Linked DNA regions of Rattus norvegicus. The protein of the gene in region 2 purifies or fractionates together with the protein of the main gene of each other region. This does not show direct contact. Links are inferred from orthologs where the notes say so. Each region holds a gene or a part of one and is shown on either strand. Other genes may lie near its edges.

The links.
Region 1: the proteins of Ago2 (region 2) and Gemin4 purify together in Homo sapiens (affinity purification with western blotting; 4 studies listed by BioGRID and IntAct, with this or other methods). This does not show direct contact. The link is inferred for Rattus norvegicus from reciprocal best matches to the Homo sapiens genes AGO2 and GEMIN4.
Region 3: the proteins of Ago2 (region 2) and Tarbp2 purify together in Homo sapiens (co-immunoprecipitation; 10 studies listed by BioGRID and IntAct, with this or other methods). This does not show direct contact. The link is inferred for Rattus norvegicus from reciprocal best matches to the Homo sapiens genes AGO2 and TARBP2.

Annotation. Positions count from the first base shown.
Region 1 is NC_086028.1:61,569,165-61,572,911, forward strand, and holds the start of Gemin4 (gem-associated protein 4), read right to left. Parts: upstream 2,501-3,747; 5' UTR 2,476-2,500; coding exon 2,466-2,475; intron 1-2,465. Other genes in the region: Dbil5 (diazepam-binding inhibitor-like 5), read left to right, coding at 3,227-3,490. UniProt on the Homo sapiens protein: The SMN complex catalyzes the assembly of small nuclear ribonucleoproteins (snRNPs), the building blocks of the spliceosome, and thereby plays an important role in the splicing of cellular pre-mRNAs.
Region 2 is NC_086025.1:106,991,583-106,995,329, forward strand, and holds the start of Ago2 (protein argonaute-2), read right to left. Parts: upstream 2,543-3,747; 5' UTR 2,397-2,542; coding exon 2,375-2,396; intron 2,368-2,374; exon of another isoform or gene 1-2,367.
Region 3 is NC_086025.1:135,530,568-135,533,331, forward strand, and holds the end of Tarbp2 (RISC-loading complex subunit TARBP2), read left to right. Parts: intron 1-380; coding exon 381-453; intron 454-642; coding exon 643-760; intron 761-1,082; coding exon 1,083-1,210; coding exon of another isoform or gene 1,211-1,214; intron 1,215-1,500; coding exon 1,501-1,702; intron 1,703-1,830; coding exon 1,831-1,988; 3' UTR 1,989-2,259; downstream 2,260-2,764. Other genes in the region: Npff (pro-FMRFamide-related neuropeptide FF preproprotein), read right to left, coding at 2,568-2,670. UniProt on the Homo sapiens protein: Required for formation of the RNA induced silencing complex (RISC). Component of the RISC loading complex (RLC), also known as the micro-RNA (miRNA) loading complex (miRLC), which is composed of DICER1, AGO2 and TARBP2.

The DNA.
Region 1 (3,747 bases), on a different chromosome or scaffold from region 2:
CTAACAAGCTTCAACATTCTGTACCTTACAGGGAAAAAGTTCACTCAGCATTTTCTTCCAGTCAAAAAGAACAAGCTAGTGAAGGTTCTGGCTCTTGGCAAGAACCAGGAAGTGGACACAACAAATATTACATCAGGAAATTCATTCACTGAGCTAAGAACTGATACAGATATTTAAAGGAAGGCAATATGGGGGTTTAACCAAGACAATGGATTTAAATTCTAGCTCAGTCATTAAAAAAATGATGGGACTTTACACACATCACTGAGTCTCCCGTCTGCATACATGAGAATATAATTGATGGTATAACTGTGAGAATCCCATGACATACGACATCCACTAATGGCACTTTGTGACTATTTTGGTACTGATACCTTTTTGAAGCATCTCCTTGGGATGGAAGAATGGAAGGTTATATAAGCCATCTTAACAATAATCAGACCACCAAGAGCACCTGATTTAAATGCTCAATTGTTGGCAGGAGTAGTCGTGTCAGCATTTTGCCTCCTCCAGTGCAGAAACAAACGGGCACAGGTCTTTTTTCAAAGCGCATAATCTGGCCTAGAAACTAAGACTGCAACAACTTGTCATGGTCACTGTTCCTAACAACTTCTACCTCTTCCCAGGGCCTAGCTCTTTGCTCAGTCAGTCCTCTATGCTCCCAGAAGCATGTCTGCCCTATTTTCATAGGCCACAGAGTCAATAGCAAAAATACCCCCTCCAGTGGACAGTTGTGGGGGGGCCTATCCCTTTAGTCCCAGCTCTAATGAGGCAGACTTTTGTGAGGCAAGCCTGGTCCACATACGGAGTTTCAGGCTAGCCAAGGCTGCATCATGACACCGTCTCAAACTTCTCCCACCCCCAGAAAAAAATGACTGACTCCAGGCAACTACAGAATCTCCTGGCCACCAACCATTTACTGTCACTGCTCACCCACCCCAAGTCAAGGATCAGCATTCCCACAAAACTCAAGCCTGAAAGCTTGGTTTCCACAGCAGCGGCTAGGCTCACAGAGCTAGGGTTCTTTCTGGCTTAGGTTGTTCTGCCTGCCCCAAACACATTTCCTTATAACTGTGAATTAAATTTTATTGCATTAGACATCAGCTTAGCTGAGCAGATGTCTGCTGCCAAACATGTGCATTTCAGGCACTGTGTACATGTGGCTTGAGAAAGTCCCAGACTCGGTTCATAGCTACAGGAAACTCAAAGGCTTTTATCAGTAGCTGGTGCTAGGAAGTGACTGCTTACTTTGGTAGGCACTGGGCTTGGTGGCATACTTTTTTTTTTTTCTGAGATAGGCTCTTGTTACATACCTGGAATTGGCTTGAAAATGTAGAGACCAGGTTGGCCTAGAACTCTCTTTTTTTAAAGATTTATTTATATGAGTACACTGTAGAGGGCATCGGATTCCATTATAGATGGTTGCTGGGAATTGAACTCAGGACCTTTGGAAGAGCAGTCCGTGCTCTTAACCACTGAACCATCTCTCCAGCCAGGCCTAGAACTCTTGAGCTCCTCCTGCCTTCAATGTGCTAGTTAGACAGAAGCCATCACACCCAGCTTTACACCTATAAAAATCATTTAATCATCAAACTAACTTCTTAAGGATTATCACTTCTGTTTTAGAGATGGGAACCTAGAGACCTAGACACAATTTTGCAGGGTGTCAACTAGGGAGTCAAGCCGTGGCAGCACTCTTTACAGCTGCAGGGCACGAAACTACCATTCCACACTGAAGAGCTGGCTAGGGACAAAGACATTTCTCCATAGCGTATTATTTGCAAATCTTGGAGTACTTCCCAGGACGGCCTCCTCGTCTTACCCTCTAAAGAGCACACCTAGCAGGGTGGGTAGGGTTGGCAGATGGCCACAGATTTCTATCAACTGCCTTTCTTCCAGACCTCGCCTAGGAGGATACTGCAAACCAAGCAGCACTCGAATTCGGATTCAAAAAGTGCCATCTCAGGCTGCACAACCCCTGCTCGCAAGCGAGGGCTGAAGGGCACCACAGCGTGTAAGTCAACGAAGGGGGTGCTGTTATGCACGTGGTCGCAGAGAAAACGCCAAGCCTCTGGGAGAAATGCACTAGGAAACCTGTTAAGAAACATGTTCACTAACTCGGCGGTCATTCAATAAGGAAGAACGGTCCGAACGTCCGTCCGTCCCAGAGCCGCATTTCCGAAACACGTGCAGTAGCCCTGTGCATTTCCAGGAGAACCAAGGCTACATTCGCTCGCGGTTTCCCACTGAGAAGACACTACGAAGGACGGAGGAGGAATCGAGGAGACAAACGTGAGGCAGGGCTGCAGGCCGGCCTCGCGGCTGCGGGTCCCCCAAACTCCTCAAGCCCCCAGCCTCCCGAGCGGACTCGAGAGAGCGCCATAGAAGCAGCGCAGGGCCTCCGCCCGCCCTGGAGGTACTTTGTGGGGCGCGGCCCAGGCCAGAGTAGGGAAGCAGGAACCCACCTAGGTCCATGGCGGCGACGCTGGCGGCGGGCTAGACCGCCCCTCCTATTCCAAGGCCGCGAACAAGGCGCCACGGCACAAAGGGCGGCGCTACAGGCGCGTCACAGGCCCCGCCCACAGAGCGTCTCCGCTTCCGTGTTGTACTCTGCTATCCGCTGCCGTCCAGGGCGCACGCGTACTCCTTTCCAACAAGCTCGCGGCGTCGAAGCCGCCCTACCCACAGCGCCCTCTCTCGGCGTAGGCTTTCCAGCCGTCTACTCACAGGTACCGTTGGCCGTCTCCAAGTGGAACCTGGCCTCTAGAGGCCAGTAGATCGAATCCCTTAGTTCAGACTCTTCATTCACCCTCAGGAACCCCGGGCAGCTCCCGCCCATGATTCACCCATATGGAATAATTTTCCTTGGGCTGTCTACTAACCAGCAGCGGATCCACGGGATTTATCTTCTTCCCATCCACGCTGAGACATACACAAATGCCCTGTATGCTTTTCATGCTGTACTGCCTTCTACGGGCAACAGCATAGTCAACTTTCAGAGCTCATAGGTGCTTTTATAACTTTGAAGGGCAGTCATACTGGAAAAAGCACTGTGGAGCAGGAGCAATCGAATGGACTCCTGGTCCACAGCTTGTACGTTATCAAACACACACTATCTCTTTGTCCCTTCTTTCAAGGCCTAATGATCACCTGACTTGCTTATTTCCAACTTTCTTCTAGTACCAGGTATCACTTATAACACAGAGGCACGGCTTCTGGTATACCAATGAGCCAAGTGGAGTTTGAAATGGCCTGCGCTTCACTCAAGCAGCTGAAGGGTCCTTTGAGTGATCAGGAGAAACTGCTGGTGTACAGCTTCTACAAACAGGCCACCCAGGGCGACTGTAACATCCCTGTCCCTCCTGCCACAGATGTGAAAGCAAAGGCCAAATGGGAGGCATGGATGGTAAACAAAGGGATGTCCAAGATGGATGCCATGAGGATCTACATTGCCAAAGTGGAAGAGCTGAAGAAAAACGAAACTTGCTAAAGAACATTTTGGCAGACACAAGGAAGTAGCATGGCTCCACTGGTAGGGGATGGGCTTAAGAGTTCCTGACGGCTGAAACACACTGAAAGGGTAGCAGGGTTAGCAGAAACATCAATAAATCATTCGAACTGCATGAGAGTGGAGTCTGTTGCAAAAGAGACTATTAGCATTTTGTCTAGGCTCCACCCCAGTTACCTGGCAACAACCAGATGTGCCTGACTCACTATAAAAGGGCCCCTCCTCTCTTGCTTTCTTGC
Region 2 (3,747 bases):
TTTAAATCCCTTCACAAGCTCCTGGGGGGAAGATTTCCCACAAGTGCTCAGCCACCCGGCTGTGCCTTCCAGCTGTTGGCAACGCTTTCCCTGCAGCACACAGGCCGCCAGGCAGCAGTGGTACCCTCAGACAAAACTGTGAATTGGGGAGGAGGGTGGGGGAAGGGGCTAACTGCTGCCATTGGAGACCACAGAGAGTAAAGCGATGATCAAAGACGCAGTCGTGATCCGCAGCTCTCAGTCGGGTTTCCACAGTCTCCGAGGTTATTTTGTAGCAAATATTCATAGGCTATAAAGCAGGAGCATCTCTTTGCAGGAGGCAAAGCTCCTCCCAGACAGTTTAAGATCCTTCGATGGGGGAAACCCCACCTAGAACCCACTATCTAGGAAATTTCAGGGTGGGAAGAGAATTTATCTACCCTAAACCACTAACCTTTTCCAATAGGAAAGAAAAATCTGTGAGGTTCTGAACCTTGGCCCCCAGTGCTACTAATCTCACACATGTAACAGTATTTGTAACAGACACAATGAGAACCCACTGTGGATTCTATTTTTAAAGTTAATTTACTAAGTATTTACTTCCCATCAAGCTCGGAAACAGCAAAACTTGGTAACTTTTCTTTAATTCAGATCCAATGGCCTTCCATTCTCCTAAACTTGGAAATATGGAGTCTCTTTGAAGGATGGAGGTGGAGGGGTTCCTTGTAAACAAAATTAAAAGCCTTTGTATGTGCTATGTGCAATAAAATGGAGCTGCACTCCAGCCTTGCAATTACAGCACACTGGCCCACCTGAAACTTGGGTTCCTTCCCAGCCTGCCATTAGCCAAGAATTACCCTACAGGCATCTCTTTTCTCACCCAAGGCTTTCTGGTTAGAGGGGACTGTCTCTCCCTTAGGCCACAATGCGGAGGCCCACGCAGCAGCAGCCATCTTCAAAGCTGCCAGTGACCAAAATGAACCGGTTGATCCAGGCTACCGCATTCTTTTTGAAAAGGCAACAAAGATGCCCTCGCGGAACACACAGTAGGCTCTTCCTTTCCACCCTACTTGGGAATTCACTGGTCTAATCCACACCAAACAAGTGCTTCCAACAGTGGGGTCAAGGTCAAAGGGACTGGGAAACCATTTCTATAGGAGTGCTCAAACAGGTTGTCCTAATGCAGGCTCCCGGATGTTAAAGGGTTCTTAAACCTCTCTGAGCCTCCACTGCCTGTCTCCAGAAAGGCCCACTGTGGCAAGCTGAAAGGATCAACACGCAAAATAGAGAAAAGCATGGCCTCGTCTCCAAGAAGATCACTAGAAACTGACACTCAGGAAAAACGTACATATTCGGAGTTAATGTTTGCTGGGTTCCTCCACAGCGCTGAGCTGGGGGGGAGGGGGGATTCCCAATCTGGCAGGAGGCTGCCCTGGTCATTTCGCAGGGGACCTCCAGACCCCAACATCTGCCTCCAGGACCCGGACACCTCCCAAGCGCAAGGTTAAAAGGGTCTTCAAATTACTGGGAAGCCCTTTAACGCATTTAGAAGTTGGTCAGTGGGCATTCGAGGAGCCCTATGACATCAGGAGAGGAGGCGCACTAGGCTCCGGAGCAAGCACCGTAGGGAACCCGGGAGGATCTGGGAGGCTTCCAGACCCCACAGTGAAGAAGTCTGGGGAGGCCCCAGGGCCGAACCACTAGGTCAGGTGGGCAGCAGGGAGGGCCCGCGGGCGCCAAGTACAGCCTGGCGGACAAAGGGGGGCAGGCTGAGCCCGAGCAAGCGGCGGGGCGGCCGGGAAATGGAGCCACGTGCCTGGCGGGAGAAGGCGAAAAAGCCTCCCAACACTTGTTTTCTCAACCCCGCGAGTAAACCGCCCTCCACTCTGCTCGAAAAGCGGGGTGGGAAAATACGTTCGTGTTTTTAAGTTTTCTGGAACTTTTCCAGAGAAACGGGCACGCTGGTGGGAAGGGGTGCCACGGCGGCCACCCGCTCCGCTAGGAAATCGCAGGGCGATTAGCACTTGAATGGGGAGGGCGGCTGCCCAGCGTGGAACTGCGTCCAAGCAGACGATCGCGGTCCCGGGGCCCCGGGGTTCGGTTCCCGACCCGTCCAGCTCCCCGCCCCAGGCCCCGCATGCTGGGCCCCACAGCTATGCGCTTGGGGACAGAGGGAGGAGCGCTGCGGGAGGACCGAGACCCGTTGCAGGCCGGGCCTGGGCCCCCAAACACGTCCGGGCCGCGCTGCTCCGGTGCACTGGGCCTCCCTGCCCCGAGGCCCTACCCGGCTGCCCCGAGGCTACGCCGCGGCCCCACAGGCTGGGCCGCCCTCGCCTGCCCCGCCCGCCAACCGCCAACCGCCGCGGCACGAGTGCCGGGCGCCGCGCGGACTCACCGGGGCCGGCTCCCGAGTACATGGTGGCGCTGCCGAGGGCCGCGGCCGAGGGCCGGCCGCGCGCTCCACGGGCCCCGACGCCGCGAGCCGCGAGGACCCGCCGGCCGCTCGATCCGCCCCGGCGCGGCCGCCTCGCAGAACAGGTTTACCCGACGCGGCCGGGGCGGCGGGCGGAGGCGGCGGGAGCGGAGGGGGAGGGGAGCGGGAGGAGGGAGGGGAGGAGGAGGGGCGAGAGGGACGACGAGGGAGGGGACCGCGGGGAGGGAGGGAAGGAGGGAACAGCGGGGAGGGAAGGAGGGAGGAGGCGGGGAGGAGGGAGGGGACGGCGGGGAGGAGGGAAGGTGGCAGGGAGAGAGGGGGCAGGGGAGGAGGCTGGAGGCGGCGCGCGCACGCGGGGCAGCGGGATGGGGGGAAATCGAGGTGGCGGCCCCCCGCGTGGTTGCCCTGAATGAGGGACCCCAGGAGCGACCCGGGGCACACGGGCGGGAGACCCTTCCTCCGGCCCAGCGAGGCGACGTCTGGCTTCCGGGCGCGGCCAGCCCAGCACTGCGACCGGAGTCGGAGTCCTCCCGCGCCGAGTGGCAGAGCCCCGGCCGCGTCCCGCCCCTGCACCTCGGCCTGGCTCTTTAAGTTATTAACGAAACGGCGACGGGAAGCTAGCTCCCCACCCAGAGCTTGAACTTGGACGCGGCCAGACCCGTGCGCGTGACCACACCGCCACCTCCCGGCGCGGCTCGACAACCTAGATAATCCTAATAAAGCACCAAGGAAGCACAGCAAGTTCAAGATGAATTTTATCAGCCGTCAGGGAGCAGATCTAGTCGGGGCTCCCCGCTTTCTGGGCTCAGAACCCCCAAGTTCTGCCCTGAGGCCTCCCAGACGAGCATGCTCTGTGCACATAGGCCCTTTCCCCACTTGTTGCTGGCACGTGCTCCCAGTTGTCTCTGGCACCTTTTCTATAGAAGAGGCAGTGTCAGCTCCCGCCTCACCCTGTACGCTTGACAATGCCTTCAAAGCCCATGCTGAGGACCCAAGCAAACAGGGTCCTACTGCAGGGACCCCAGCATCGGGGTAGGTTCCATAGCCTGTGCAGTGCTCAAAAAATAGTCCGAGGAGCAAGAAAAGCAGCGTTCCTTCCAATAAACATGGAAAGGAGGAGAAGGAGGAGGAGGAAGGAACTAGATAAAGAACTGTGGGGTTGCCATCCCAGCTACTCAGAAATCGAGGAAGGAGGATGACAATGCTAAATCCAGTCTAGGGTACATAGAAGAAAGCCTTGGGTACCCCTTCCTCCTAAGTGGTCGACACAAACGGGTAATTAATCATACCTAGCCCTTGTGGCCAGCACTTGTGGTCCCCACTGCTTTGGGATG
Region 3 (2,764 bases), about 29 Mb from region 2:
AAAATTTGCACCAGCTGGTTGGTAAGCTTGGGATAGGAAGTAATTTATGATGTTTAAATAGCCATATGACGAATGTTAGATTGTTTAAACATCTTACAGGCTCCTTGTTTGAGACCCAAAAGGTACTCCAGGACCGGCTGTACTGCTCCTTTACCTCTGTCACAGGGATTTTACTGAAGTATTTCCACATCTAAATGCTACTAGGAAGTAGCGAGCCTCACTTGGTGGAGACTGGGGAGGGAGGAGCAAGGCTAGATGTTTGGACAGATAGCTGCCTGCCTGGTGAAGAATTGGGAGGTGGCAGTGGCTGGCACTTCATCCTTGTCCAGGACAGAAGGAACCGTTTTCCTCAGCGTTGGTCTGGGCCGTTTTTCCTTTAGGAGCCCTCCCATGGAGATGCAGCCCCCTGTCTCTCCTCAGCAGTCTGAGTGCAACCCTGTTGGTGCTCTGCAGGTGTGCCTCATCTTCATTGTCGTGTGTGCTGTCTTCTCTGAACTAGGGCCCTGAGGCAGGGATGTGCGCCCTCGTGGGTGGGGTGGTCCTCCTTCTCATTCAGAGGCTGAGGCTCTTGGTAGAAAGCCACTCGGGTAAGGAACCTTTCTTTCCCCATTAAACCTTGGACTCTTCTGTTTTTCTCTCAAGGAGCTGGTGGTGCAGAAAGGCTGGCGTTTGCCAGAGTACATGGTGACCCAGGAGTCTGGGCCTGCTCACCGCAAAGAGTTCACCATGACCTGCCGGGTGGAGCGTTTCATTGAGATTGGTAACTGGGGAAAAGGGGGTTCACTCACCTTCTCTCCGCCACACTATAGCCCCACACAAGGTGGCTCTTTGCCTGGCTGTGCTCTGTCCCAACTTTCTTTGCTTTGCAGCTCCTTGCTCAGTTCTTCCCTCCCTGTCTCTTCCTTGTCCCTGCCCATCTTTCCCCTCTTTTCTGGCTCATCAACTCCTCAGTGAAAACGAACAGGCCTTGAGCTCCTCTTTGCAGTTATCCCATAAGGGGACCTTCTATCCAAGTTAACTTAGAGGGAAAGCATTGGTCTGTTAGGAATCCCCAAATCGAACAATTCCTTCCCTATCCTCAGGCAGTGGGACCTCCAAGAAGCTGGCAAAGCGCAACGCGGCAGCTAAGATGCTGCTTCGAGTGCACACGGTACCTCTGGATGCCCGCGACGGCAACGAGGCTGAACCTGATGACGATCATTTTTCCATTGTAAGTGGCTTGTGTGGGCTCGCCATGTGGTTCACACTGCAGGACGTGGTGTGGAATTGGGTTGGGTCTGTGATTTGGAAGTGAGTTGGACCTGCTTCTCTACCAAACCCAGGGCTCTTTGAACCTGTGACACCTAGCAGTCCCCTCAGCCTATGTGTAGGGTCACTAGGGAAAGCTGGCCTAGGGCAAAGGCCCTGTAGCAACTTTTCCTGGGATGAGGAAGCCTGCCAGGGGTCAGAGTATGCCCTGTTCTTGGGTTCTTAGCTGCATTCTCACCCTTATCTCATTAGGGCGTGAGCTCCCGCCTGGATGGACTAAGGAACCGTGGGCCAGGCTGCACCTGGGATTCCTTACGGAATTCTGTGGGAGAAAAGATCCTGTCCCTTCGCAATTGCTCCGTGGGCTCTCTGGGGTCTTTGGGCTCTGCCTGCTGCAGCATCCTCAGTGAGCTCTCTGCGGAGCAGGCTTTCCATGTCAGCTATCTGGATATTGGTATGGCCAGCCAGGGACTGGGGATGGAGGGGACTGGATCAGAGCAAGTATAAAGGAGTTGGGAGATGGGTGATGTACACTGCTTGGTGCCCCTCCCCACCAGTGCCTCCCTCTTTTTTGGCTTCCAGAGGAACTGAGCCTGAGTGGGCTCTGCCAGTGTCTAGTGGAGCTGTCCACGCAGCCAGCCACTGTGTGTTATGGTTCTGCCACTACCAGGGAGGCAGCCCGAGGTGATGCTGCTCGCCGCGCACTACAGTACCTCAGGATCATGGCCGGTAGCAAATAGCACCCACTACAGTGATGGATATCTGTTACTTCTTGCTCCTTCTGCCCTGGGTCTATGCGTCTGCCTAGCTCTGGTGCCCTCCAGAGGTGCCATCTCTACCTCTGACACAGCTTGCCTGCCTTGAGACTGAGGAAGGCAAAGGCAAGCAAGGAGCCATGAACCACAGGGCCCCAGCCAGCGCAGGGTTTGCCCTCATTCCATGGATGATGAATGAAAGGAAATTGGAATTCTATTGGAATCCAGAATAAATGCTGCTCTTTGGCTTCTTAAACCCTGTGTTCTCTGGCCCTGGGTCATGAGGGTGTCAAAGGAATACACAGTGTTTGTTCTCCTTCTGAACCCCATTCTTTTTGCTACAGGCAGGAGGCAAGGTGCAGTAGCCTTGGGGACCCTCCAGCAGAATGGCTGGAGACTGATTGAGTGGAGGTAAAGGAGGCTATAACTATTGCTCTTGGGCTCCCACCCGTTCCCTGAGAGTCTTGTCCAAACACAGATGCAGAAGCCAGACCACTTTATTTGGGGGCACACATGGAATGTGGGGAAGTGATTTTGCATGCAGACATATCACAGCAGATGATGTTACTTCTTCCCAAAGCGCTGAGGAGCGGCCAGGCTCCAGAACTCTCTAGCCTGGGGACTTAGCTGCTCCTTGCTCCAGGGCCCCCAAGCATTTCTGCCAAACCTTAGGAGAGATTCATCTTTAGTCGGCACTCCCTGTATCTCACCTTCCCTCACATCTTCCTCTGCCCTCCTCCCTTCCCAGCCTCTGCCTTTTG